Oryzias latipes: one gene and its partners. The protein of the gene in region 1 interacts with the protein of each later gene in a pairwise test. Links are inferred from orthologs where the notes say so. Each region holds a gene or a part of one and is shown in the gene's direction. Other genes may lie near its edges. The genes, in order: foxp2, rpia, tbr1 and sp4.

The links.
Region 2: the proteins of foxp2 (region 1) and rpia interact in a two-hybrid assay, tested with the Homo sapiens proteins (2 studies listed by BioGRID). The link is inferred for Oryzias latipes from reciprocal best matches to the Homo sapiens genes FOXP2 and RPIA.
Region 3: the proteins of foxp2 (region 1) and tbr1 interact in a two-hybrid assay, tested with the Homo sapiens proteins (2 studies listed by BioGRID and IntAct, with this or other methods). The link is inferred for Oryzias latipes from reciprocal best matches to the Homo sapiens genes FOXP2 and TBR1.
Region 4: the proteins of foxp2 (region 1) and sp4 interact in a two-hybrid assay, tested with the Homo sapiens proteins (2 studies listed by BioGRID). The link is inferred for Oryzias latipes from reciprocal best matches to the Homo sapiens genes FOXP2 and SP4.

The regions. Positions count from the first base shown.
Region 1 is NC_019881.2:5,140,260-5,146,340, reverse strand, and holds part of foxp2 (forkhead box protein P2), read left to right. Parts: intron 1-306; coding exon 307-410; intron 411-565; coding exon 566-667; intron 668-2,511; coding exon 2,512-2,633; intron 2,634-3,492; coding exon 3,493-3,562; intron 3,563-4,141; coding exon 4,142-4,470; intron 4,471-6,081. UniProt on the Homo sapiens protein: Transcriptional repressor that may play a role in the specification and differentiation of lung epithelium. May also play a role in developing neural, gastrointestinal and cardiovascular tissues.
Region 2 is NC_019880.2:22,088,387-22,095,134, reverse strand, and holds the start of rpia (ribose-5-phosphate isomerase), read left to right. Parts: upstream 1-2,416; 5' UTR 2,417-2,465; coding exon 2,466-2,630; intron 2,631-3,384; coding exon 3,385-3,445; intron 3,446-3,613; coding exon 3,614-3,669; intron 3,670-5,930; coding exon 5,931-5,990; intron 5,991-6,062; coding exon 6,063-6,127; intron 6,128-6,193; coding exon 6,194-6,262; intron 6,263-6,378; coding exon 6,379-6,520; intron 6,521-6,748. Other genes in the region: uncharacterized protein LOC101171122, read right to left, coding at 1-53, 170-1,783, 1,866-2,010, 2,274-2,309. UniProt on the Homo sapiens protein: Catalyzes the reversible conversion of ribose-5-phosphate to ribulose 5-phosphate and participates in the first step of the non-oxidative branch of the pentose phosphate pathway.
Region 3 is NC_019879.2:21,024,536-21,029,270, forward strand, and holds the end of tbr1 (T-box brain protein 1), read left to right. Parts: coding exon 1-63; intron 64-251; coding exon 252-410; intron 411-722; coding exon 723-784; intron 785-1,312; coding exon 1,313-2,156; 3' UTR 2,157-2,856; downstream 2,857-4,735. UniProt on the Homo sapiens protein: Transcriptional repressor involved in multiple aspects of cortical development, including neuronal migration, laminar and areal identity, and axonal projection.
Region 4 is NC_019869.2:9,695,029-9,701,755, reverse strand, and holds the start of sp4 (transcription factor Sp4), read left to right. Parts: upstream 1-2,789; 5' UTR 2,790-3,621; coding exon 3,622-3,628; intron 3,629-3,850; coding exon 3,851-3,921; intron 3,922-4,833; coding exon 4,834-5,184; intron 5,185-5,258; coding exon 5,259-6,447; intron 6,448-6,690; coding exon 6,691-6,727. UniProt on the Homo sapiens protein: Binds to GT and GC boxes promoters elements. Probable transcriptional activator.

The DNA.
Region 1 (6,081 bases):
TAAATTTAGCATTTAGTCTGTCTTTAATGTTTATTTACTCCGTATGTTTAGCGCAAAGCATAAATTATTCAGCTTCCATCCAGCTAACTACACAGATCTGGTGGTTTTTGTGGATGTTTAGAACGTCTCCAGAGAGAGATTAATTAAAAATGGATTTTGAAGATGTAAAAAAAAAAAAACTGCTGATTCGTTGTCTCTTCTCCAATGCCCCCCCCCCCTTTTTATTTTTTTCCATCTGTGTTTTAATTTGATGAAACCTGGAGGAAATTCACAACCTAAAGGACTCAACTTTACCAATTATTTCAGGTGGTGACACAGTATTTATTTTTCCAGAGATCGCCCCAAACTACGAGTTTTATAAGAATGCAGATGTCAGGCCGCCGTTCACTTATGCAACCCTCATAAGACAGGTGAGTGGGAAATAAATTAACTTTGCCTGATTAGATTTGAATTAATTGCAGCATGAATCACGGCAGCCCTGTGAGGCTGTCGGCGTGTGTGCGGCGGCGGCGGCGTGGCGCTCTGGTTTAGCGAAACCCTCATTGGATGTCCTTTCTCCTCACAGGCAATCATGGACTCTGCTGACATGCAGCTAACGCTCAACGAGATCTACAGCTGGTTCACGCGCACCTTCGCTTACTTCAGACGCAACGCCGCCACTTGGAAGGTGGGTGTCACCGAGCTTTTCCTCCACTTCAGAACCCAAATTATTATTATTTTTTTGTTTGTTTTTCCACCTTTTTTTTGTTTAGAAATGACAGCTGGATGACCACCCCCCCCCTTCCCTCCTTCACATATCGTTTTCTAATTTGCTGCAATTAATAGCGGCGCGTTAGCGTGCAGAGGAGGGAGCCGTGACGCGCTAATTATACAGCAGCTCCTCCATCATCAGCAGCTTTTGTTAAGAGATCCGGCAGCCGCCACCCCTCCCTCTCCCCAGATCCAGCTTTGTCTGACAGATCATTGGTTAGTCGGTAGCCAAGATGGCTGTTAACCAGCTCTAAGGGCACAACTTCCACGCTCACATCCAAGCAGGAGCAAGAGGAGGTGATAGGGGGGCCAAATAGGTGTTTATAACTTTATTGTTCCTGTTACAGGGCACAGAGATGCCTCTTAAAAAATAAACACAAGCACGTGTTTTGGTCATGAGACCTTGGTGATTGATCTGTGCCCCCCCCCCCCTGTTTGCCACTTTTAGCCTTTGTGATGTCACAGATGACTGTAGGGGAGAGAGAAAAAAAGCGCCGCCGTTCATTAGCATGCAAGACACGTCGCGGCGCTAGATTTGGCGAAGTGAATTAATTTGGATTTGGGATGCAAATAAGCGCAGGGCCCGCGCCACCGCCGAATTCAGGGGAGATGGGTGCTCTTTTACCGGCCGTTTGCAGGAGGTGGGGGCTCATTGGGTCACAGCGACCCTTTGTCTTCCAGCTGATGTGTTTACATCCACAATATGATCAGCTAAGCACTCGTCATGTGACCAGCAGATATAAAGTGTAAAAAATATGAAAGGTAGTTTAATATCTCAGCTTGGTCTCATCAGCTCAAAAGAGACCCCCCCCCCCTCTCCCCATGCCCAAACCCACTTTTTTTTTCTCTCCCCCTTTTTTTTCCTCCTCTCACCCAGAAGCTTATTAGTTCTAACTATATAGCATGCATAATAAAACTGCTCATTTGCTCATTAATATTAAAATTATCATATTCAGAGCCATGGGCATTAAGATCAATCAAATCTGGGGATTTTCAGGTCAGATGCAAGATCTCCTTATGAGTTTTTTTTTCCCTCCTCCATGAATCTTAAAGAAAGAGCTGCACAAACCTAAGAAAGAAATGATAAACACGAGAGGCAGTGATAATAACCGCTAATATTTGTAGATTCATTCAGTCATTCAGCTTCATAGTTGCATTTCCTGCTAATTATTAAAATCTGTTTATCACTGGCGGATGACATTTCATAAATCTCAAAGGGTGTCATGTTAGGCGCTTGTTTCTACAGCAGATGCGGCGCCGCACAGAGGATGTTTGGACATGTGCGCGTCAGATGCAGTTCGGCTTAATTCCCACCATCCCTTTCTGACTCCTCGCCACGGCGACAGTTGGGATTTTTTTTTTCTTCTCTTCCATTTCTGTCATTTTTTAAGAAATGTGTCCATTAGGAATGGCGCTTTTCTGGAGCGGGAAGGGTTACTGACATCACCATTATCAAGGCCGGCATTACCACTTCTATCACCACCATAAGCCATTCGCTATGCTGATTACCTCCTTTTAGCCTACTTACTCTGATTGATATGTACTGTGCGCAGGACTTGTAAGAGCATTCGCTCTCACTCAATTTTTACTAATTAAGTCAACGGTGTGTGAATTTGAAGAATTTCTTCAGAAAGTACAGCAAAAATCAATTTCCTGATGCCCCCCCCACCACCACCACCACCACCACCACCAAATGACAGCCTCGTTTGACCTGTTTCCCTGTTTTTGTTTGTTTGTTTGTTTGTTTGTTCGTTCTTACAGAATGCAGTTCGCCACAACCTCAGCCTGCACAAGTGCTTTGTGCGCGTGGAGAATGTGAAGGGGGCGGTGTGGACGGTGGATGAGGTGGAGTACCAGAAGCGCAGGTCACAGAAGATCACAGGGTACGACTTTGGTTGCCATAGAAACACAGCAGAGTTTTTTGGATGATGCTTAGCCTCTGATTTTAACCGTAGTTTCCGCACTATAAGACACACTTAAAAGCCTTTAATTTTTTTGTTAAAAATGACCGCGCCTTATAAATGGACAAGTTCTGCTGGTTGTGATGTCGACGCGGTTTTGAGAGGTACAATCTGTTTTTGTTGTTGTTGCTAGCAAGTTTGGGTGGTATTGTTAATATGCTAACCCAGCTAACGTGTAGCGGTTTCAAACTGTTTTTTTTATATGTTACTAACAATGTCGGGAATGAAAGTAGTCACATTGTTTATTTTAGCGGTATCAGTCTGTTTTTTACGTGTTACAAACAAGGTTAGGTGTCATTGTAAACATGCTAACATGGTTAACGGCTAGCAATGTCGAACTGTTTTTTTTTTTTTTTTTTCATGCCACTAACATGGTTGGGAGTTAGCTTTGTCAAAACAATGTTTATTTTATTTGCATCAATTTTGTTACCCTGCTTGCTAACAAGGCTAGGAACTACAGGCATTGTAAACACGCTAACGTGGCTAACATATAGCGTGTTACAGACAAGTTCTGTAGAAACAGTGAACGCACTTTTGTCTGTCTATTTTGTCTCACTTAATGTGTTTTATATTTTGATATATGGCATAAGTTCAAGATTAGGCTTTTCATTGACGATGCGGCTCAATCCCACGCTCCTTATAGTGGAGAAAATATGTTAATTATATTTTATTAATAAAAACTTGCTTTTTAATTTATTGATTTTTTAGATAAATAGAGATTTTAGAAGTATATTTATGGATTTTTATTCGTTTCCTTTGCTTTTTTTGTTGTTTTTTTTAGAAGTCCGTCTCTGGTCAAGAACCTGCCATCCAGTCTCGGTTATGGAAATGCACTGAATGCCAGCTTACAGGTGAGCTCCTCCACCCCCCACCCCCTCCTACGTCCTCCAGTCCAGTCTCGGGCTCAGAAGGCCACCCAGTGGTGGAAGCGGGCAGCAGCTCTCCGCTTCTCTCCCAGTCACCCTAGATTGATAGCGGAGTGTGCAAATGCGAGGGCGCGCGCATTAATATTTATCTGAGCTGTCATAAATGATTTGGCTTCACAGTGTGCGCCAGCGAGGTGCTCATGGCAAAAAACGTTCAAAATTTAATCACTGTATATAAGTTTAATGCGCAGCAGGCGAAAGTGTCAGGAGTTTGATTATTTTGAAGCAAAGTTTTTTTTCCTTGGGTGACTTCATTTTCTTGAAAACGTGGCTGCAGCTCACACAGGGGGGAGGGCCCACCAACAACAGCCCACAAGGTGACACTTAAGAACCAGAGGAGGATGGATTGTAGGAACTACTGTGTTCCTGCAGCTCCACTTTTCTGCCTCCGGGTCACCAAATACCCCATCTTCCTCCCAGGGCTACAGTTTCCCTGTTTTTAAACTCAGCTTTTCATCACTTCTGTGCCTCTAATTCCCAACATTCCCTCTTCTCTTGCCGCAGGCGGCACTGGCCGAGACTTCCCTGCCCTTGCTGGGCAACCCGGGCCTCATGAGCAGCGCCGCCGGCCCGATGGGAGGCAGCTGCCATGGCCTTCTGGGCGGAGATCCATCCGTGCTCACCGGCGGGAGTCCGCCCGGGATGTTAGGTGGGAGCCCACCGGGAATGTTGGGCGGAAGTCCGCCTGGCTTGCTTGGCGGCAGCCCCCCAGGCACGCTGAGCGGGAGCTCCCCCGGCTTGTTGCAGACCGGCCACGAGGAGCTCAACGGCACCCTGGACCACCTGGACACCAACGGACACGGCAGCCCCGGATACTCTCCCTCTGCGCACATGTGAGTCCTCGCCACCAGAAAACCATGACAAATTCACGTCAAAACCTAAAAGCAGCATCTTAGTGTTTCTAGAAATGACATTTAACCCACAATCTTAGGGTGTTTAGGTTTTAAGTTTAAGTCATTTGACTGTTTCTCTGCTCCAATGGGAAGTAATTGAACCTTCAGACGTCTGGGGCCTTTTTCATCATTTTTTTTCACTTAAATAATTCACCTTTAAAACATTTTTTAGTGGCAATGCTTGACCTTGTTTTTTTTAGTACAACCCCACAGATTTTCTCATTATAGTTCACAAAACTACACAAAAAAGATTATTTCGAATGTAAATGTTGTTTTTTTTATTCTAAATCGCAACAATTAAGATGAAGTAGCTGTGATGATTTATAGCAAATATTCTAAGCGTCTGGATAGAATAAAAAGGTACAAATCCCCTCAAAAAAGTCTTTAGCTGCACTCATTGACTGTATATGAGAACTGGAGTGAGTGACTCCTCCCTCCTTTCGTTCCAAAAAGGAAGTACCTACTTGGTTCCAAGACACCAAGGTCCCATAGACTTCTATGGAAAAAATAAACAGCTGTTCTTAAGTCATTCTATTTGTCAGCAAATCTTATCTTCTTACCTTTTCATAGATTTCTTTCATCATATTTTTTTCTGCAACTCATTCAAGTTATAAACTGACCAATCAGATGCTGCAATCATAGTTGTTGTTGTTGTCTCACATACAACAGTCGATTGTCAGATTTTTCCAACAAGCTCACTCCTGATTGGCAAAAGTGAAGTGAGTCATTTTCTATGGGTGATGTCAGTGTCAATCAGTCCAGTCCTCATATACAGTCACTGACTCACAGATGTTGGCCTCCACACAGACGCACCTGTTCAGCACCTCCCCCGTTTACAAAATAATCGTACTCCAAGTTACGGTCAAAGTTGAGAATCCCTGTAGTATAAAAATAGTACATGGTGCTCCTCTTCTGTTGTCTCCTCCGGTTTTTTGCTCTTCAACCAATTTACCCTTTAACACTGGCCACACCCAAATAACACACTTTTGTTTTACATACCATAACTCGTTAACCATTTTCGTGATCAAAGTGCATCATCTGACTTTGACTTGAAGGGAACCAGCTTTGCTACGTTGCGTTATCGAGTTGTAGATTATAGCAAAGCCGATTTTCTCTCCTTCAGAATCCACTGGAATGACCTTTATTGCATAATCGGTGGAAGAGTTGTAGTCATAGGAACGAAAAACACATTATTAAAGCTAAAGCCCTGCTGGTATTCAGTGGTTGAGAAGGATCGTCTCCCTCGTCAGTTGTTTCAAGATCTAAATTGGAACCTTTTTCTAAATTGTTGACTATTTCCGTTCGTCTGTCACCATTGTTTGTTTGCGATTGAGGATTCTTTTGGCTCATGTACAAACACACTCACAGAAACGCACAAAAATTACTACGTAGTGGGGAAATTAAAATAAAACATTTGTCTTAATTTGAACCCTTTAGGTCGTTATCGTTGAGACAGCTTTTGCAGCTCATGAAATAAAAGCAGACAGTCATACACTTACAGACATTTAAATCTGAAGGACCTTGTCAATTAAGTGTCATGACTCTTATTAT
Region 2 (6,748 bases), on another chromosome or scaffold:
GTATCGATATATCATGCCACACTTGAGGCATGACTTCCTGTATGTTGATATGCCTAAAAACAACAATAAACCATTGTTGTTGGTTATATGTCATTCCAAATTGATTACATAATCATTTGTGTGACTCAAGAAACACACCCAAGATGGTGATGGTTGGACCTGTACTAACCTTCAACCACACCTGTGCTGGTCAGGATCCTGGCTTCGGAGGTTATTATTTGTTGCCCACCAAGTGGGTACTCACACTCCACACATGTCGTTTCTGCTGGGATTAGGCATTTCGGAAAGCTGTCCTGTGTTCTCCCATTTTTGGACTGCTCAATGAGAGCCTTGGGGAGTTCTCCTGGAAGCTTTTTGTACTTCAAAAGGTAGTTCAGCATTTTGAGAGTGGACTCGTCATATGGAGGGCAACTGAATGTGCGGGGGCTTGAATCTTCTCCGGCGTCCTGGGGCGGGTCAGGTGACTCAGCTTCCGTAACCGACGCTTTCTGAAACAACTCCCCATTTGTGACAAAGAGGTGCCACTTCGCAATGGCTTTATGGTTGCAGGACTGTGTTACTATTGAGCACGAACAATGCCAGCTGTTCTGTTTTCTGTCATACGCAACTATCAATCGGCCCACACGACTATCACATGTGATTTCTGGCTCATAGACAGAGATATGGATTTTGGATGGTGGGCCGCCCACAGTCAGCTGCACAGAAAGGGGCACCTCCTCCGCATCTGCCTTCCTTTTACATTGCAACAGACTGGCCTTCTGCTCTTCCCCAAACCATTTCTGCTCTACCATCGTCTCCAATGCCTCCTCAGATAGAGTGACATGCTGGTTGTCGGCTCGTGGGCAGTACAGTAGAGATCTGACGTGGTGGCATTCGTAGGGCGGCATCCCACTTGTGTGGGCAAAGTCCCCGTTGAGCCGGCACTGGTCCACCTCACACACAGTGACGGGACTCGCCCCCCAGAATTTCTTCACAACATGCACAGGCTTTGCTGAACCACAGAAGGATTCCTGAACAGCAAACACGCCATTTTTTTCATCCACACACTGGCTGGATAGAAATCTTTCCATGGAAACTGTCTCAAAATACTGCTTGTGCTTCCTCTTGCAGTGTGTTTTGAAGTTTTTTTTTTTTAAATTCAAACCGCAGAGATGACAAAGAATTGTCTGCGTCCGACACATTTCCTTTGGGTTTTTTTGCTGCTGGGGGCGCTCTGAGGGATGTGGTGGGGCCGGGGTTTGCTGCCATAGAAGCTGTGCTGGTTGCTGCAATGGGGGCTGAGGTGGGGACAGTGGGGACTGCGATGGGGGCTCTGGGAGCTGCGATGGGGCCAGCGGGGACTGCGATGGGGCCAGCGGGGACTGCGAGGAGGGGTCTGGGAGCTGTGATAGGGACAGTGGGATCTGCGGTGGGGCCAGCGGGAGCTGTGATGGGGCCAGTGGGGGCTGCGATGAGGGCTCTGGGAGTTGTGGTGGGGCCAGTGGGGGCTGCGATGAGGGCTCTGGGAGTTGTGGTGGGGCCAGTGGGGGCTGCGATGAAGGCTCTGGGAGCTGTGGTGGGGCCAGTGGGGGCTGCGATGAGGGCTCTGGGAGTTGTGGTGGGGCCAGTGGGAGCTGCGGTGGGGGCTCTGGTTTGACCTCTAGCAGCCATGGAGGATTTCCTACGTGGTGCGCTCCCAAATGTTTGAAAAACTGTGACCTGTTGACCAATGTTGCCGGACAATGGCAACAGTGAAAGTGTGACGCAGTCCGGCAACCTAAACCACACTTGATGACTGTGAATCCTAAAAGAGGAATGATGGGAAGAACATACTTCATGACTTGTGACTTGTGACTGACAGTTTCCATTCAGAACCCAGACTGTACCTTTGTGTTTGACGGACGAATGGTTTTCCATGTGGTGTCTCACAGCATGCTCTGCGCCCTTGTAGCGGCAGAACGGACAGTGGGAAGAACCGTTTAGGGTTTTCGGCGTTGGTTTTTCATTGCCCAATAAGACTGTAACGTGTCTCTGTAAAGAGAGGAAAAATACAGGTGGAAAAAACCGGAAAGTTTCACCTACATTGATTGGAAGACACAAAAAAGTTGAACATCATCATGATGATTACGAAAGTCCCGAGGAGTAGAGCCGCAATTCTAACTTGTAGTTCCGTGTGAAACCTGAACTACGTGGATATTACGACAGAAAAAAGCAAAAATACAAATAACAGCCTCATCCGTGAGGCGAAAATGTGTCTTATTGTCATGAATGCCCGTTTGTTTGTTGATGCGTACCTCCATCTTGCAGTTCCGTGTTGTGTCGCTGCACATGGACAATCTGACTGCAGCGAAGAAGAAGAAATGGAATCACGTTCTGTGGGCGGAGCCCAACGCGTTTAGCCCCGCCCACGTCGAGGCACACTGCCCACTGCAGCGAGGGGTAGTCGTCTTGGGGAGGCTCTCTTGCGCTTGCGGGAGGGGGGTGTCATGAGGCTACCAGGGTTCGTACCACTCCTCTGCGCTCCACCCTCGCGGAAGCTCCTCGCGCTCTCCAGTCACCGGCACGTGCGCTGCTCCCGCGAGTCTGATGCTGGCATGGCAGAGGAGGCGAAGAAGCTGGCCGCCTACGCCGCCGTGGACAACCACGTCCAGGTACCCTAGTCGCTGTCCTCTGAGCGAACGCGTCCGTTCGAGTCCTGCAGCAGGAGAGTTTGAGACGACGTCACGGCCGTTCAGCTAGTAGTTCCGGCGCGCGGCAAAGTTAGCAAGTACAACATTATCTAAATACTTTAAAGCGACTTAGCGCGGCTTTGCGCGGGCTTGTCCCGCTTTGAACCGCACTATGGTGCTGCAGCTAGGAAACATTTAGGGTGAAAAGGAAAACAGGGGCATGAGCGGTGTAGAAGTTAGTCTAGGCTGGAATTAACGGTGTTGTTAGCCATAAGTGTGGGGGGTCAGAGGTCAGCTCCTCCGACCGGGAACGGGAGCCCCCGTGGGCCAGAAAAGCGACCCTCAGGTGAAAGGTGAACCTAAACACCTATTTTAATTTCAATAAAAACAGTATCAATGTTATTTTTGTTTTGCTTGGACTTTCATGTTAATTATAGATTTTTATATATAGATAAAATGTGTTTTTATGAAAAATTTCACTCTCTGCAGCTTCTTGAAGCGTCTTTTCCAGCCAACATTGCTCCTAAATGTTGCCTTGATGTGTGTCTGAAAGACATTATTACAGTTGTAAATCACTAGCTTTTCTGTTTTTAAAATGTTCATGTGACTTTACCATTTATTGAAACATGAATATCATACTGAAACCTGATGAATGGGATTTAAATTAAAAATCAAACTGGATTGTGATCTTGTGAGCTGAATGGATTCAGACACCACGCCTCCTTGTTTTCTGTAGAACAACCAGGTGGTTGGAGTGGGCAGTGGATCAACCATTGTGTACGCCGTGGACCGACTGGGTGAGCGCCGTTGAACTGTTCATGTCTGTGTCCAGTGGGAGGAGCCTGCTTGCAGCCGCTGGTGATGGTTCCATTCCAGCAGCTGTGACTGCAGTCAAAGAGCAGAACTGACCACTTGGCGTTCATGGGTCCAGTGTTTATGTGGCCTCCGTTTTGTCTCTGTTGCAGCGGAGAGAGTGATGCAGGAAAAACTCAACATTGTGTGTGTTCCCACCTCCTTCCAGGTGAGTGGATGTGCTGTTGTGATCCGCTTTCATCGCTTTTCTTTTTGCTGCGAGTTTATTTTCTCAAGTTCCTCCACTCGGACCATTTGTGTTTGTGAAATCAGGAAACTGGCGCGTTGCACTACGACAGTTAGCACATTCTTTGCATGTGTTGCTACAGACCTCTCAGATCTTTGCTAAATGCAACATTTCAGTGCAAAGTCCTGCTTTGCTTTCTGCTCGATTTTTTTTGGGGGGGAAACTGCAAAACAGAATCAATGTCCACACGAACTCATGGTTTCTCACCCTTCAACGCTGACCTCAGCTGATCATCATCTGCAGATGCTGCACCCTTTGTGGGTTTGGGCAAAGAATTCACTAAAGATAGCTTCTCCTGTAGAAGTGTTTGAATCTGGCTCTTCAAACCTGCTGCTCCTACTCTGACTCCTTTTAATTACCCAGTGACACTTCAGTTTAAGTTTACTTACCTGGTTACTGAAGAAACAAATGTAAAACACTGCAACCTGATGCGTGTCTCACATTAAAGCGCAGCCAGAAATGCAACAAAACAAAACAGTTTGAACCAAACAAATTACAAATTTAATTACAAACTCTGAACATCAAATGTAAAATATAAATAAAAAGAACAAAAAATAGTTTCTTGTTTCTTCATAACTCCACCCCAAAAAAAGATCTATTTCTTCTTATTTAACTTCTACTTCTGTGTTTTCTGGTTGTTTATTTAAATGACTTTTCTACACACAGATTAGACCTGGGCCATGTGGCCAAAAAAATAAAATCTTTTTTTCACTCCATAACACTTTTTTTTTTCTCCGTCCTTTTAATTTCTTTAACAAAAATTACAAATGATGGGATATATTCAACAAAAACTACTTAATTTTAACATCACCTTTAAAAAGTAGGCTCCAGCACAAAGTTCAGCTAAACACAAAAGCTGTAGAAATGTCTGCAGATCCATTTTTGGGAGCTGCAGACAGCTGGAGCGTCTGATGAAGAGAAACGCTTCTCTCTGAACAGAGTTTGTTTCAGGTGTTCAAACAAATGTGTCGTCCTCCCACTTTTGTCAGCTACAACCTTCAAACCAATTTTGCTGTGTGTGGACAAATTGTTACACTACACAGAAAAACTATCGGTGTCAATTAAAAACAAGGAGGAGTGCAGACAGAGAGGACGTCACAACATGGAAACAACTGTTCAAAGTGATTTCTAATCTGTCAGAAAATAAAATGACCTTAAAGAAATCTATAAATAGGATGAACACATCTTTAAAAATAAAACATGGACAGATTCACTAAAGGGCAGCAGATTGAAAGAAAATGTATCTTTTTCCTAATTCTGCGGCTCTGTAATGTTAGATGTTGCTAATAAAGTTTCATTCACGTCTGTTATTGTGTTTAGAAAATACAGTTCATCCTCCCCGTCTTAAAGTCCGCTCTGTGTAAATATTGTGTCACTTTAAACCAGTTTGTGGTCCCAGTCTGGCGACACTCGGAACAGCTCGTTAGCATAGCATGATCGTAGCATGTTAGCATCAGGGTTTAACATCAGCGCCGTCTTCAAACCGACCCTTTTTTTTAAGCTTTGATGCTGCAGTGAGTCCAGCAGCTTTATTCTGCAGGTCTGTCTGGATCCTGCTGAAAGCTGACGCGTGTTCCACTGCCCCATCAGCCGAAACCAAGCGCTACAGAGACGCAAACAGAAGTTACAGGGGGTGGGGGGGTGCTCTACGCGTTACATGCGCTTATAAATATTACACAACAAGCTTCTTTTTTTCTTCTGCCTCTTGGAAGAAGCTCCTCCCTGCTGGCTGCAGGCTTCATCTCTGCTCGTTGAAGTTAGCATACATGTTTTTTCTGCAGACTAAGTGAGCTGTCATGCTTGCAGAACATACGTGTAACGCTCAATATTTCATACACAAGTGTAAATATGCCAATAGCAAAACCTGTTTTTTATGTTTTCCAGAAAAAAATGATTCTGTATGTAAATGGTATTCAATCCTGCACTAACAAAAAGCTGTTAGAACAGTTGAAACATGGTCTCTTTTCAGATTCCTTTGCCTTTATTGTAATTCTTTGCTTAATAGGTTTTATATAGCTGTTATTGTGTCTTTTTGGCATTTGCCTTTTGCACATAGCGTGGAGTATCAATGTTTGGTATTTTGTATGTGCAATATTTGTTAATAAAGTTTAAAAAATAGCTGTAACGCTTTATTGGTTACAATGCGGCCTACCCCGTCCAACGCTGTTGTCTTCCTCCTGCAGGCCCGGCAGCTGATTCTGCAGCACGGCCTGGCGCTGTCGGATCTGGACCGACACCCAGAGGTTGGTGGGGAAAGCCCTCTGCTTTAGTGAAGGAAGCCTTAGTCTGATCTGCGCTCTGCTTTTGCTGTGCAGCTGGACGTGGCGATCGACGGGGCGGATGAGGTGGACGCAGACCTGACGCTGATCAAAGGTGGAGGGTGAGTTCAGTGCAGAGCACATCCCTGGATTCAAACATCAACTCACTGGCCGTCTCTGTGCTACAGCGGTTGTCTGACGCAAGAGAAGATCGTCGCCGGCTGTGCAAAAAGTTTTGTTGTGATTGCTGATTACAGGTGAGCATCATTTTCATGCAGAAGTATTGAGAAGAGAGCAGAAGTATTTCTAACAGAGTTTGGTTCTGCTGAAAGGTGGGAAGATGTCCAGATTTGAAATCCCTGCTTTTTTCCAGGAAAGACTCTGAGGCTCTGGGCCAGCAGTGGAGGAAAGGAATTCCCATCGAGGTGATCCCCATGGCGTGGGTTCCCATCTCCAGGGTAATCGCCAGGCGCTTCGGAGGGGAAGTCAACCTGAGGATGGCTGTCAGTAAAGCTGTGAGTGGTTGATGCTGACATCTGCACCTGTTGGCTCTTCTCGTGCTCTTCACGTATCACAGCAGCTTTCCAGGAGCTGTTCAGCTGCACCTGTAGGTGCTTTCCTGCCGCGTGTTTCATTTTCAAACTCGTTTTTATGTTTAGGTACAGAAACCTCGATGAAGCTGTCTTGGTGACACTGAGGCTGTCTGTATTCCCGCCCTTACCCCAGCTCTATGCGGAGCCCTG
Region 3 (4,735 bases), on another chromosome or scaffold:
GAAATCTCGTTCGGAAAGCTAAAGCTCACAAACAACAAAGGTGCCTCCAACAACACCGGGCAGGTAATTTAACATTTTTTTAATTAAAAAAGTTGATTTGTTTTCTTCATTTTTATGTTTTTTTTTCTGGATCTGGATCTTTGCGTCGTTCTCAGCGCACAAAGAAAGCTGTGGCTTTTGCGCCTTCTTCATTTTTTTTTTAAACTTCAAAAGTTAGTTTTACGCGCGCGCTTCTTACTTTGAAACTGCAGATGGTGGTTCTGCAGTCCCTCCACAAGTACCAGCCAAGGCTCCATGTGGTGGAAGTAAACGAGGACGGGACAGAAGACACCAGCCAGCCAGGAAGAGTGCAGACTTTCACCTTCTCGGAGACGCAGTTCATCGCCGTTACAGCGTACCAGAACACCGATGTGAGGGTCCAACGCCGCACCTCAAGCGCACGCAAATATAAATAAATATATAAAATAAACGCTTACAAAACAAAATAAGAAATCTCCTTAAAAATTAAACCCCAATTGTTGCATGCCACTGATTTAACTCTATACAAATAAATACAAATAAGTAAAATTGTTTGAGTTATCACCACTTAAATTAAACTGATCGTTGTCAGATTTTTTGAATTACCATTATCATTTTTTATTTTTTACAGCAATGTTGTTGCAGTAAATATATTAGCACCTAACATTATTTTTAAATTGAATTAATGCTTTTGTCTTCCACAGATCACACAACTAAAAATCGACCACAATCCCTTTGCCAAAGGATTTCGGGACAATTATGACACGTAAGATTTATTTAATTATTTGCATTTTTTGCTTTCTTTTAATAAGCCTGCATATTGATACATAAAAACAGAAACTTAAATAATAGGAAATTTCATATATATATAAATATGTTCATTGATATTTTATTTTTGTTGGAGTGTTTAACCATTTTTTACACCATAAATATAAAGAACAAATGCGTAAAATGCCTGTTGCATGGTTCTTTCTCTGTAATGTGCACATTAACGAACGTCATAATAATATTCTGAAATTACCGTGTAATTATAACATAGATAAAAAATGCAACAAAACACATTTATTTTTAGAGATTCTTTTTGAGAAAGCCAGTTTTTATCTGCGTAAAACTGGAAGTCTATTAAACGGCCTCCACTTTAAATCTAATCCAATCTTCAGAAACAGCTGATTGATTTTTTTGTTTTGTTTTATTTTTATTTTTTTTAATATAAGGCCTTTATTTTTTTATATCAACTCGCCACCGTCCACATTCAGCGCCTGAACCGTTTCTGTTTTCTCCTCCATCTTTTCAGTGTCTACACAGGCTGCGACATTGACCGCCTAACTCCATCACCGGGTGACTCTCCGCGTTCACAGATCGTGCCGGGTGCGAGATATGCCATGCCTAGCTCTTTCCTGCAGGACCAATTTGTCAGCACTTATGCCAAATCTCGCTTTCACCCTGGCGTGGGGACTGCTCCTGGCACGGAGCGCAACGTTCCACTCGGCAACAGCTTGCTGTCTCCTCAGCAAGCCGAGGAGCCCACTGTTGCCACCCCCCCGCAGCGATGGTTTGTCACCCCTGCCAACAACCGACTGGACTTTGCAGCCTCGGCATACGACGCCGCTGATTTCGCCGGTAACGCGGCCACCTTGCTGTCCTACGCAGCGGCCGGAGTGAAGGCTCTCCCCCTGCCGACTGCGAGCTGCTCCAACCGGCCTCTTGGCTATTACGCAGACCCGTCTGGCTGGGGAGGACGCACGCCGCCGCACTACTGCGGCGTCAACAGCAAAGCCAGCTCGGTCTTTTCCTGCTGGCCCGCGAACACCATCGGGGGCCGCTCAGGCACCAGCTACCTGCAGGAGGAGGGGGACTCCATCAGCACGGAGAGGTCACCGATCGGTGGCGCAGAGGAGAGCAAAGCCAAAGACATCACATCTGAGTCTAGCTGGATAGAGACGCCCTCCTCCATCAAATCCATCGATTCCAGCGATTCTGGGATCTTTGAACAGGCCAAACGGAGGAGAATCTCCCCCACTGCCACGCCGGTTTCAGAGACTGTGTCCCCGTTAAAGTCTGAGCTGCTGGCACCGAGGGAGTGTGACAAAAACTGTACAAAGGACATCGGTTATTACAGTTTCTACTCTCATAGTTAGGAATCTATCTATCTATCTATCTATCTATCTATCTATCTATCTATCTATCTATCTATCTATCTATCTATCTATCTATCTATCTATCTATCTATCTATCTATCTATCTATCTATCTATCTATCTATCTATCTATCTATCTATCTATCTATCTATCTATCTATCTATCTATCTATCTATCTATCTATCTGACCGTTCCATCATTACATCCAAAGTGTACATTTTTTGGTTATGACATAAACTGTTAAGATTTGTTGTAATTATGGATATAATGTATATAAATAATAATATTTGGCATTTGTGATAGTGACTGGATGTCCACAAAATAAGAAACAAATATGATCCCCTATGGTGTCTGACAGAGCCAACTGTTCTCCTGTTTGAAGTAGCCTGTTAGTATCTGAAATGTTTAGGAATCTGTACATGAAATGGTTTTTTTGTGTAGCAGAAACTGACACGTCAGTTTTGGGGGAAATGTATTTCTTAATTCTATCAAAGCTGCGGGTGAAGCTGCAGGAAGTTTAAGCGACGATCTCCTTCCTTCATGTGGTTAAAGAAGTTTGTCAGTGTTTGTAGACATGCAGGGTCTCTGCTTCATTTGAGTTTATTTGCTTGTACATGACGTTGTGGAAAATCTCTGTATGTGCTGTGATGTGGATGAAACTTAATAAACAGTGTTCCCCATCAGGGCACGCTTTACTGGATTTAAATGGATCAAACAGATTTTTTTCCTTTAACTTTATATACCTAAATTGCAAAAATTCTTTTATTTTGACATTTTCCTGTCATGCGCAGACTTATTCTTGAAATTTAGCGCTAAGTACAATACAGCAACTCATTATAAACAATATCACATATTTATATTTACATAATGTAACTAACATTTCATCGTTTTTTTATTATTCAAGAAATATGAAAACACGAAATACATAAAAGTGTATTTTTTTCTCACATAAAAATAAAGTAACACATACGATCTATGTCAAGGGATGCAAATTGGCTGGATGCGCTCCACGCGCACACCACGTGAACAAAACCCCTGCAGCTGTCAGTGAAGAAAAACCCTTTAAGAGGCCTCGCTGCGGTTTATGCTCCTTATTATTATTATGAAGCCTTTCCAGATACAAACATCAGATGGCGACAACTGTAAGCTTTAATCAGACAGCTTTCATCAATGGTGGGATCAGAGACGGATTCATTTTTAATTGATGTTACCTTTGGATTGTATAGTGCAGCGTCTGCAATGTACACTAGATGGCGACATTTCACTAACTGCCACGAGATTCAGTGCGCGTGCGGAACATCCAAACGTTCACTTGGATGCAGAATAAACATTTTAAAAGTAAAAAACAAAAACAAACAATTAAAAAAAAATTCGTGAATAAAATCTTATGTATCTTTTGAGGCAAGTCCAGCCTGCAGCTCAATTAAAATAGACACAGGCAGTACAACCCATCATGTATAATACAGAAAAATATGGTGAAAATAGTTTTTTTAATACAAAAACATATAACATACTTTATGATCAAAAATGTAATCTCCTGTTGATCTCAAATTCCCTTGGTGAATATATACCAAATAATTTTCATCAAGTATTTAAAAACAAATGTGTTTCTATGGTGTTTCTGTCAACCTACCAACAAAAAAATGCAATAGATGTATTTTTTCAACCTACATATTCTTAGATTATTTTAAGTTAAATTTTATGTTTAAAAATATTTTTATTTTCAACCTAGACTTATATTTTTAAACACCTGGAGAGCACTATTTTTGTTGTGCATACAATGCCAATAAACGATATTCAGATTTTGACAAAATAAATTCTATAACTGTATATACATTTCAATATACTTAACATGTAGTAGATATGCAAAAAAAGTAACACTTTTCATTAAGTCATAGATGCTGTCACTGAAATCTTAATAATTCTTGTTAAGCCTTGGAAAAAAATGCAGATTTAAAATCTGAATACAAAAAGAAACAGAGAACCTTGGTGACATCACAAATCCCTTTTCAGCAGCACACTTCAACTATTTCATAAAAAGTCATTCCAAAAGACGTAAAAACGTCCAAACAGGTTCCAAAATACTGAAAACACAGAAACCAACAAGGTCAAGACCGAAAATAAAAGTGCACAAATGGACAGTTGAAAGTGTTACAGCCAGATGACTCTTTTACTAAGCCTCCAGTACTTCTCCAAATAAAGCTTCAGTTTGAGTTCATTTTATTATGGAGGGGAGCAAAACTAAAAGCTTTTTTTGTGATTTTGTTTTACCTGTGAGAACAGCATGAAACGTCTCTGAACAGCTGAGATCAGAGCTCCTGAATTCTACCATCTGACATTTGTGAGAGCTGTAAGGGTCAGGCCAAAAACCGCTTTGTAGGAGCACAACAGCGCATCAAATACGGGGAGGTCCAGTCATCTCATTCATCCTGCACATCACAACGTGTGAGGGATTCGAAAACAATCACATGCATGAAACATGCATAAAAAAAATTATTGTTCAGGATGCTTGTATACTCTAGAGGAAAGTTATATCTTAAAATAACAAAACCCCGAGCCCCAGACGAGCAGCTCACCAC
Region 4 (6,727 bases), on another chromosome or scaffold:
GCTGGGGCCTTTCTGTGTGGAGTTTGCATGTTCTCACTCTGCATGCGTGGGTTCTCTCCAGCTTCCTTCCACCGTCCAAAAACATGCCTCAGGTTAGTTTGTGACTCTAAATTGCCCATAGGTGTGAACTTGTGGTTATATATCTGTGTGGCCTTGCAACGGACAGGCAAAACATGCAGGCTGGATCCCACTTTTGAGCGAAAGCGGATAGCATCACCCTGAAGAGGAACTAGCAGGCATGGTGAAAAACTGTTTTCCAGTAGATTATCTTTTTATTGTTAAATGAGTAAATCTCTCAGGTATTTTTGCTAGTTCACTCTTAAAAAAAAAGGGGTTTTCAACCTTTTAAAACTGAAGAATTTGTATGTATGGAAGAATATTGTGTTTCAATCAAGGTTTTCACATTTGTATGGTATATTCAGCTGAAAATAAATTTGTGAAAGAACATTATCTGCAAAAACCCCATACAAAATGGAAAAGCGGATGTGGATTGTGGATGTTATTCAAATATCCCTAATGGTCGTGTTCCTATGAAGATTACTAACGATGATCATTGTTTTCATAAAATGTTTTGACATTTTTTCCCCACATCATTTTTCCACCATATTCTCCTAAAGCTTTGCCTGTATTCTCAAAGATTTGTTTATGTTATTTTATAAAAAAAAAAAACGCCCCTCTCACCCTCCGTGGGTGGTTTTTCCTCCAAGCTCGGGTCCTCTACCAGAGGCCTGGGAGCTTGAGGGTCCTGCGCAGTATCTTAGCTGTTCCTAGCACTGCGCTCTTCTGGACTGAGAGGTCTGAGGTCTTTCCAGGTATCTGTTGTAGCCACTCCTCCAGCTTGGGGGTTACTGCCCCGAGTGCTCCAATTACCACAGGCACCACTGTCACCTTCACTTTCCATGCTTTCTCCAGTTCTTCTCTGAGTCCCTGGTATTTCTCCAGTTTCTCATGTTCCTTCTTCCTGATGTTTCCATCGCTTGGCACTGCCACATCCACCACAACGGCTTTCCTCTGTTCTTTATCCACCACAACAATGTCTGGTTGGTTTGCCATTACCATCCTATCAGTCTGGATCTGCAAGTCCCACAGGATCTTTGCCTTCTCATTCTCTACCACCTTCGGAGGTGTTTCCCATTTTGACCTTGGGGTTTCCAGTTCATATTCTGCACACATGTTCCTGTATATTATTCCAGCCACTTGATTGTGGCGCTCCATGTATGCTTTACCTGCCAGCATCTTACATCCTGCAGTTATGTGCTGGATTGTTTCAGGGGCCTCTTTGCACAGCCTACATCTTGGGTCTTGTCTGGTGTGGTAGATCTGAGCCTCTATCGCTCTGGTGCTCAGGGCTTGTTCCTGAGCTGCCAGGATGAGTGCTTCAGTGCTGTCCTGTAGGCCAGCCCTTTCTAGCCATTGGTAGGACTTCTTGATATCAGCCACTTCAGTTATGGTCCGGTGGTACATCCCATGCAGGGGTTTGTCCTCCCATGATGATCTGTCCTCCAGCACTGTGTCCTCTGCTCTCCATTGCCTGAGACATTCACTGAGCACACTGTCAGTTGGGGCCTTGAGCTTGATGTACTCATGCATCTTGGATGTTTCATCCTGGATAGTGGCTTCTACACTCACTAGTCCTCGGCCTCCTTCCTTGCGGCTAGCATACAGTCTCAGGGTGCTGGATTTGGGATGGAGCCCTCCATGCATGGTGAGGAGCTTTCGTGTTTTAACATCCGTGGTCTGTATCTCTTCCTTTGGCCATCTTATTATTCCTGCAGGGTATCTGATAACTGGCAGTGCGTAGCTGTTTATTGCCCGGGTCTTATTTTTGCCATTGAGCGGGCTTCTCAGGACTTGCCTTACTCGTTGGAGGTATTTAGCTGTTGCAGCTTTCCTTGTTGCCTGCTCCAGGTTGCCATTTGCCTGGGGAATTCCAAGGTACTTGTAACTGTCCTCGATGTCTGTTATTGTTCCTTCTGGGAGTGAGACCCCTCCTGTGTGGACTACCTTGCCTCTTTTTGTCACCATCCGGCTGCATTTCTCGAGCCCGAATGACATCCCAATGTCAGTACTGTAGATCCTGGTGGTGTGGATCAGGGAATCAATGTCACGCTCGCTCTTAGCATATAGCTTGATGTCATCCATGTAGAGGATCCTGATCCAGAAGGATCCCTCAAAGGGCGCAATCCCATCCAACTACCGGCCAATAACCTGTCTGTCCACAACATGGAAGCTCATGTCAGGCATCATTGCAACCAAGATAAACAGGCACATGGATCAATTCATGAGTAACACACAGAAGAGCATTGGTAGAGACTCCAGAGGAGCCAAACACCAACTCCTGGTCGACAGAACAGTCGCCCAAGACTGCAAGTCACGACACACCAACCTGTGCACATATATATATATATATATATGCACATATATATATATACACACATACACACATACATACATACATACATACATACATACATACATACATACATACATACATACATACATACATACATACATACATACATACATACATACATACATACATACATACATACATACATACATACATACATACATACGTGTGAAAAAAGAAAAGGAAAATTCATTTTTGAAAACTAGTTGACACAAGAAACAACGTAGTTCCTTCTTGTATTATTGTTGGGTTGTTTTATAGCTGTGGATAACATTCATTAAAATCTAAAATAAATTGAAAAAATCAATTAGCTTAATTGTTTTTTTAATAAAAGAACACTTCCATTCCGCTGATTAGTCTCTTTTAGAGCCCAAATTGAACTTGACCCAGACGCAGCGCACCTCCCTTTCCCGGTCGCCCAACCCCCATAAAACAGAAGTCACCGCCCGCTTCTGTCGCTCTCACACCAACATGACTACCGCTTCAACTCTCAGACAGGCCTGCTGAAGCATTATGGGAAATGTAGTTAAAATGGCTCTAGCTTATTCGAGAAGGCGAGGCTTCACCAAAATACAACTCCCATCTCGACCCTCGCACGCCGAGTCCCGTCATCCAATCTGAATATGTGGGAGGAGCGTATCCGCCCACAAAAGCCACAGCTATCTGCTCGTATCTCCCTCTTAAAAAAACAACAATTGTCCGTGAAAAAAGGGAACACGCTGATAAAATACAAAAACCGGTGACCATTTGTGTTCGGTGCACGGCGGCCGGCGACGAGGCGTCCCCGCGTCGTGTGGGAGAAAACCAGCGGTGACAGGCAGGAGCAGCGAGGAGGGTGTTGTCCTGATGCTTAAATGGAAGTGGGTGGGCCTCTACGGTCACACAGTGCCAACTTCTCTGTGGATATCGATCTGACAGGCATCAATTTGCTCGCGTATGGACTCTCTATCCGCTAACAGAGACGCACGACTGCGCCGCGAGGAGCTTTGAGGCGCGAGGACGGTCACGCGGGGCTCTCCGTTGTTTCCGTTATTTGGGACTGCTTGATTGTGCTCGCGCTTGGCACCGCCCTTCCTGGCCGGTGGGTGGTTTCGTCAAACGAGGAGATCCGCCACGGCTCAGAGCCGAACATATAGGCGTCCTCCGCCTCTTTACCCGGCCGGCCTTCCACCGTGAACTACACCCTCTTCCTCTCGGTATATTAATGCGTTATGAGTGGTAGGTACCCTCCCCCCTTTCCGTCTCCACCCCTCTGTGTATCCGTCTAACAGAAATGAGCCTCCATGCCCCTTTGGTATTGATGATGAGGTTACTGTCTTTTCCCTCTTGTCTTTGTTGATTACCTTTGTTATGCTATATCTAATTCATGCACAAGATTGCATTTTTATTGCCTGTCTCGTGCTACCAATGTATTAAAAGTAAAAGTCTCTCTTTTAACAGACTCGAAGAAGGAATCATCTGGAACTGAAGGAGGGAAAGCATCTAAAAGAGGGAAAAGTTCTGCTTCACAGGTAAAGTCGTGCAGTTTAATACACTTCACTAGTTTGATTTTTGTCTCTTGGCCCAAAAAAAAAAAAAAGTTCCCCCCTCCTCCCTCACAGCAGGCCAGCCAGACACCTCTAGGGGCGTTTCTCCAGTGAATTTCACTTCCTGCTTCTGTAGAGCCCTGCTGAGAGCCAACCCTCATGAATAGACGCTTACATGGTTGTCATGATCCAGCTGTTGTAGTTTTTTTAAATAAACATTTTCAATTATGAACAGAATCCTTTAGTAGCGATACTTTTGATGTCTTTGCAGCACAGGATCTTCAGGTTTTGCATGCATGCAGATCGTTTTTCCGTCATACCATTATCTACTTTTTGTCATTGATGGTTCACCAGAAGCATACTCTCACCTTTTGCAAACGACATTTTTTTTTCTTAAACAAATTTGAGGCTGTTTCCTATTAAGCAGGATTGAAGAAAAAAAAAAAAACTGCTGCGACCTAGTTTTTTCTAAAGGCAAGAGAGGAGGTTGCATTTTCTTCAAGCGTTCTGAGAAAAGAGAAATGTGGTTCTCACACGCCCTCCCACTAGCTTCCTGTAATACCGCCCACTTCCACTGACAGTTCTATGTCTGGTAGCATTTTTTTTTTCAGAGTTCTTTCCCTTGCTTTCTCGTTTTTTCCCCTCATTTTTTAAATTGTTGCCTGTGTAACCCAGCAATCCTTGTGTTTTTATATGCACTAGGGGTGTAACAATTCACTTGAACAACGATTGGATTTATATAATAATTTGTGATTGCTGACACCACTCACAGTCGATTTTGGTTCATATTGAACAATCCGGTGTCGCTCCTATTAAGCACATGATGTTCTTTGTGTGCTCAACAACTCTCTGTCACTCGTGGATGACCGCTTTACCTCCTCATCGTTTTTCACCCAGGATTCCTCTCAGCCCTCGCCCTTGGCTCTGCTGGCGGCCACCTGCAGTAAGATCGGAGGGCAGGGGGGAACAGAGGGGTCCCAGGCCCAGGCGGGTGCCCCACAGATCCAGGTTCAGGCGGGTCAAATCCAGTTGCAGGCCGGTCAGCTCCAGGGTCAGATAGTGGTGGACGCAGCTGGGGGTCAGGCTCTGATGCCCCAGCAGCTGGAACTGATCCCAGCTCAGTTCACGGGGAACGGTTGGCAGATCATTACAGCAGCGCCTGCCATGGCCAAGGAGAACGCCAGTCAGCCCGTCGCGGTATCGGTGGCCACCACTGTGGCCAACGACAGCTCACCTGTTGGACGGAAGGTGAATGGTTTTTTTTTAGCATCAGGGGGTATGTTTGCACTTTTCAGTAATCTGATCGTTTTCTGTTTTCACAGCTAAAAGCAGCAGGTGGGAGCAACAGTGTGACCGCGGGTCAGCCACAGCAGCAGCAATACCAGATCATCCAGGTTCAAAACCTCTCTAATGCTGCTGGCGGTGTCCAATATCAGGTCATCCCCCACCTGCAAACTGCAGATGGACAGCAAGTACACATTAGCCCCCAGCCTGCTTCCATTGGAGCTCTGCCTGAGCAGGTTCAGCTAATTCAGAACCCCAACTCTGGCCAGACTCAGGCTATCCTCCAGCCGGCCAACCAGCAGACTATCCTCCCAAGCACAACCAATCAGACCGTCCCTCTGCAGATCCGTCCAGCACAGTCCTTTCCACTTCAGCTGCAGACTCTACAGGGCTCTCAGCCCCCTGTCATGACCACAGTACCCATAAACCTAGGTGGCATGACCCTGGCTTTACCTGTAATCAATAACGTTGGAGCGGGCGGAGCCGTTCAGCTCATCCAATCAGCGGATGGCACATTTTCTGTTGCTAATGGCAACCAGCTGGTGACAACAGCTGTTTCTGGAGCTGCTCCAGCTGCAACTGGATCCACAGCAGCGGCAGCTGAGGGCGACGGCGTGTCAGACGCGGCTCAAGTGGTTTCTACAGGATCAGCTGACGCTCAGGTACAGAGCAGCGAGGCAGATTCTCAGAACCAAAACCAAGCCAACGGGCTGCAGAATCAGACTGACGCCGTCGGAACCATCCAGCAGGTGATCGTGGGTCAGGTTGGGCATCAGCTGGTCCAGCAGATCCAGTTGCAACCCCAAGCCCAGAGTCAGGGTCAGCCACAGAACCAGCAGCAGCCTCAGCAGATTCAGACCCTTCAGTTGGCGCCAGGACAAACTCTGCAGCCCATCCAGGCCATCCAGAACCCAGCCCAGGTTCTCATTCGCACTCCTACTCTGTCACCTTCTGGGCAAATCACCTGGCAGACGTTGCAACTTCCTGGAGGAGTGTCGCTGCAGGGCGGTCTCGGGGCGGCTGTGCCGCAGCAGCTGACCCTGGCCCCGGTTGCAGGCGGTGCGACGGTGGGGGGTGGGGGGTTGGTCTCCCTGAGCGGCACTCCCTTGACTTTGAGTGCAGCTCAGATCAACCCAGGCTCAGGGGTACAAACGGTCAGCATCGCAGGACTGGGCACTGCTGGGGTTCAGGTGCAGGGGGTTCCTCTCACCATCACCGGTCTGCAGGGTAAGTACACAATAAGTGTAACAGTGTGACTATGAGACACTTTTTTCAGAAGTGATTGACGTTTTTTATAGGACTTTTGAATCAATTTTGGGGCCGGTTCCCAGATTAACCACTTAAAGCAAAATATCAGAAACATCCCTCCTGCTCAGACATTTAGAATTTTCTCCTCTTGCAGTTTTTAGTGTATTTTTTTTCTTCTGCATGTCACATAAAGGTTGACACACTTTTCAAATTCACCTCTAGGTCAAACACAGGGTCAGGATGGGGTCAAAGTTCAGTC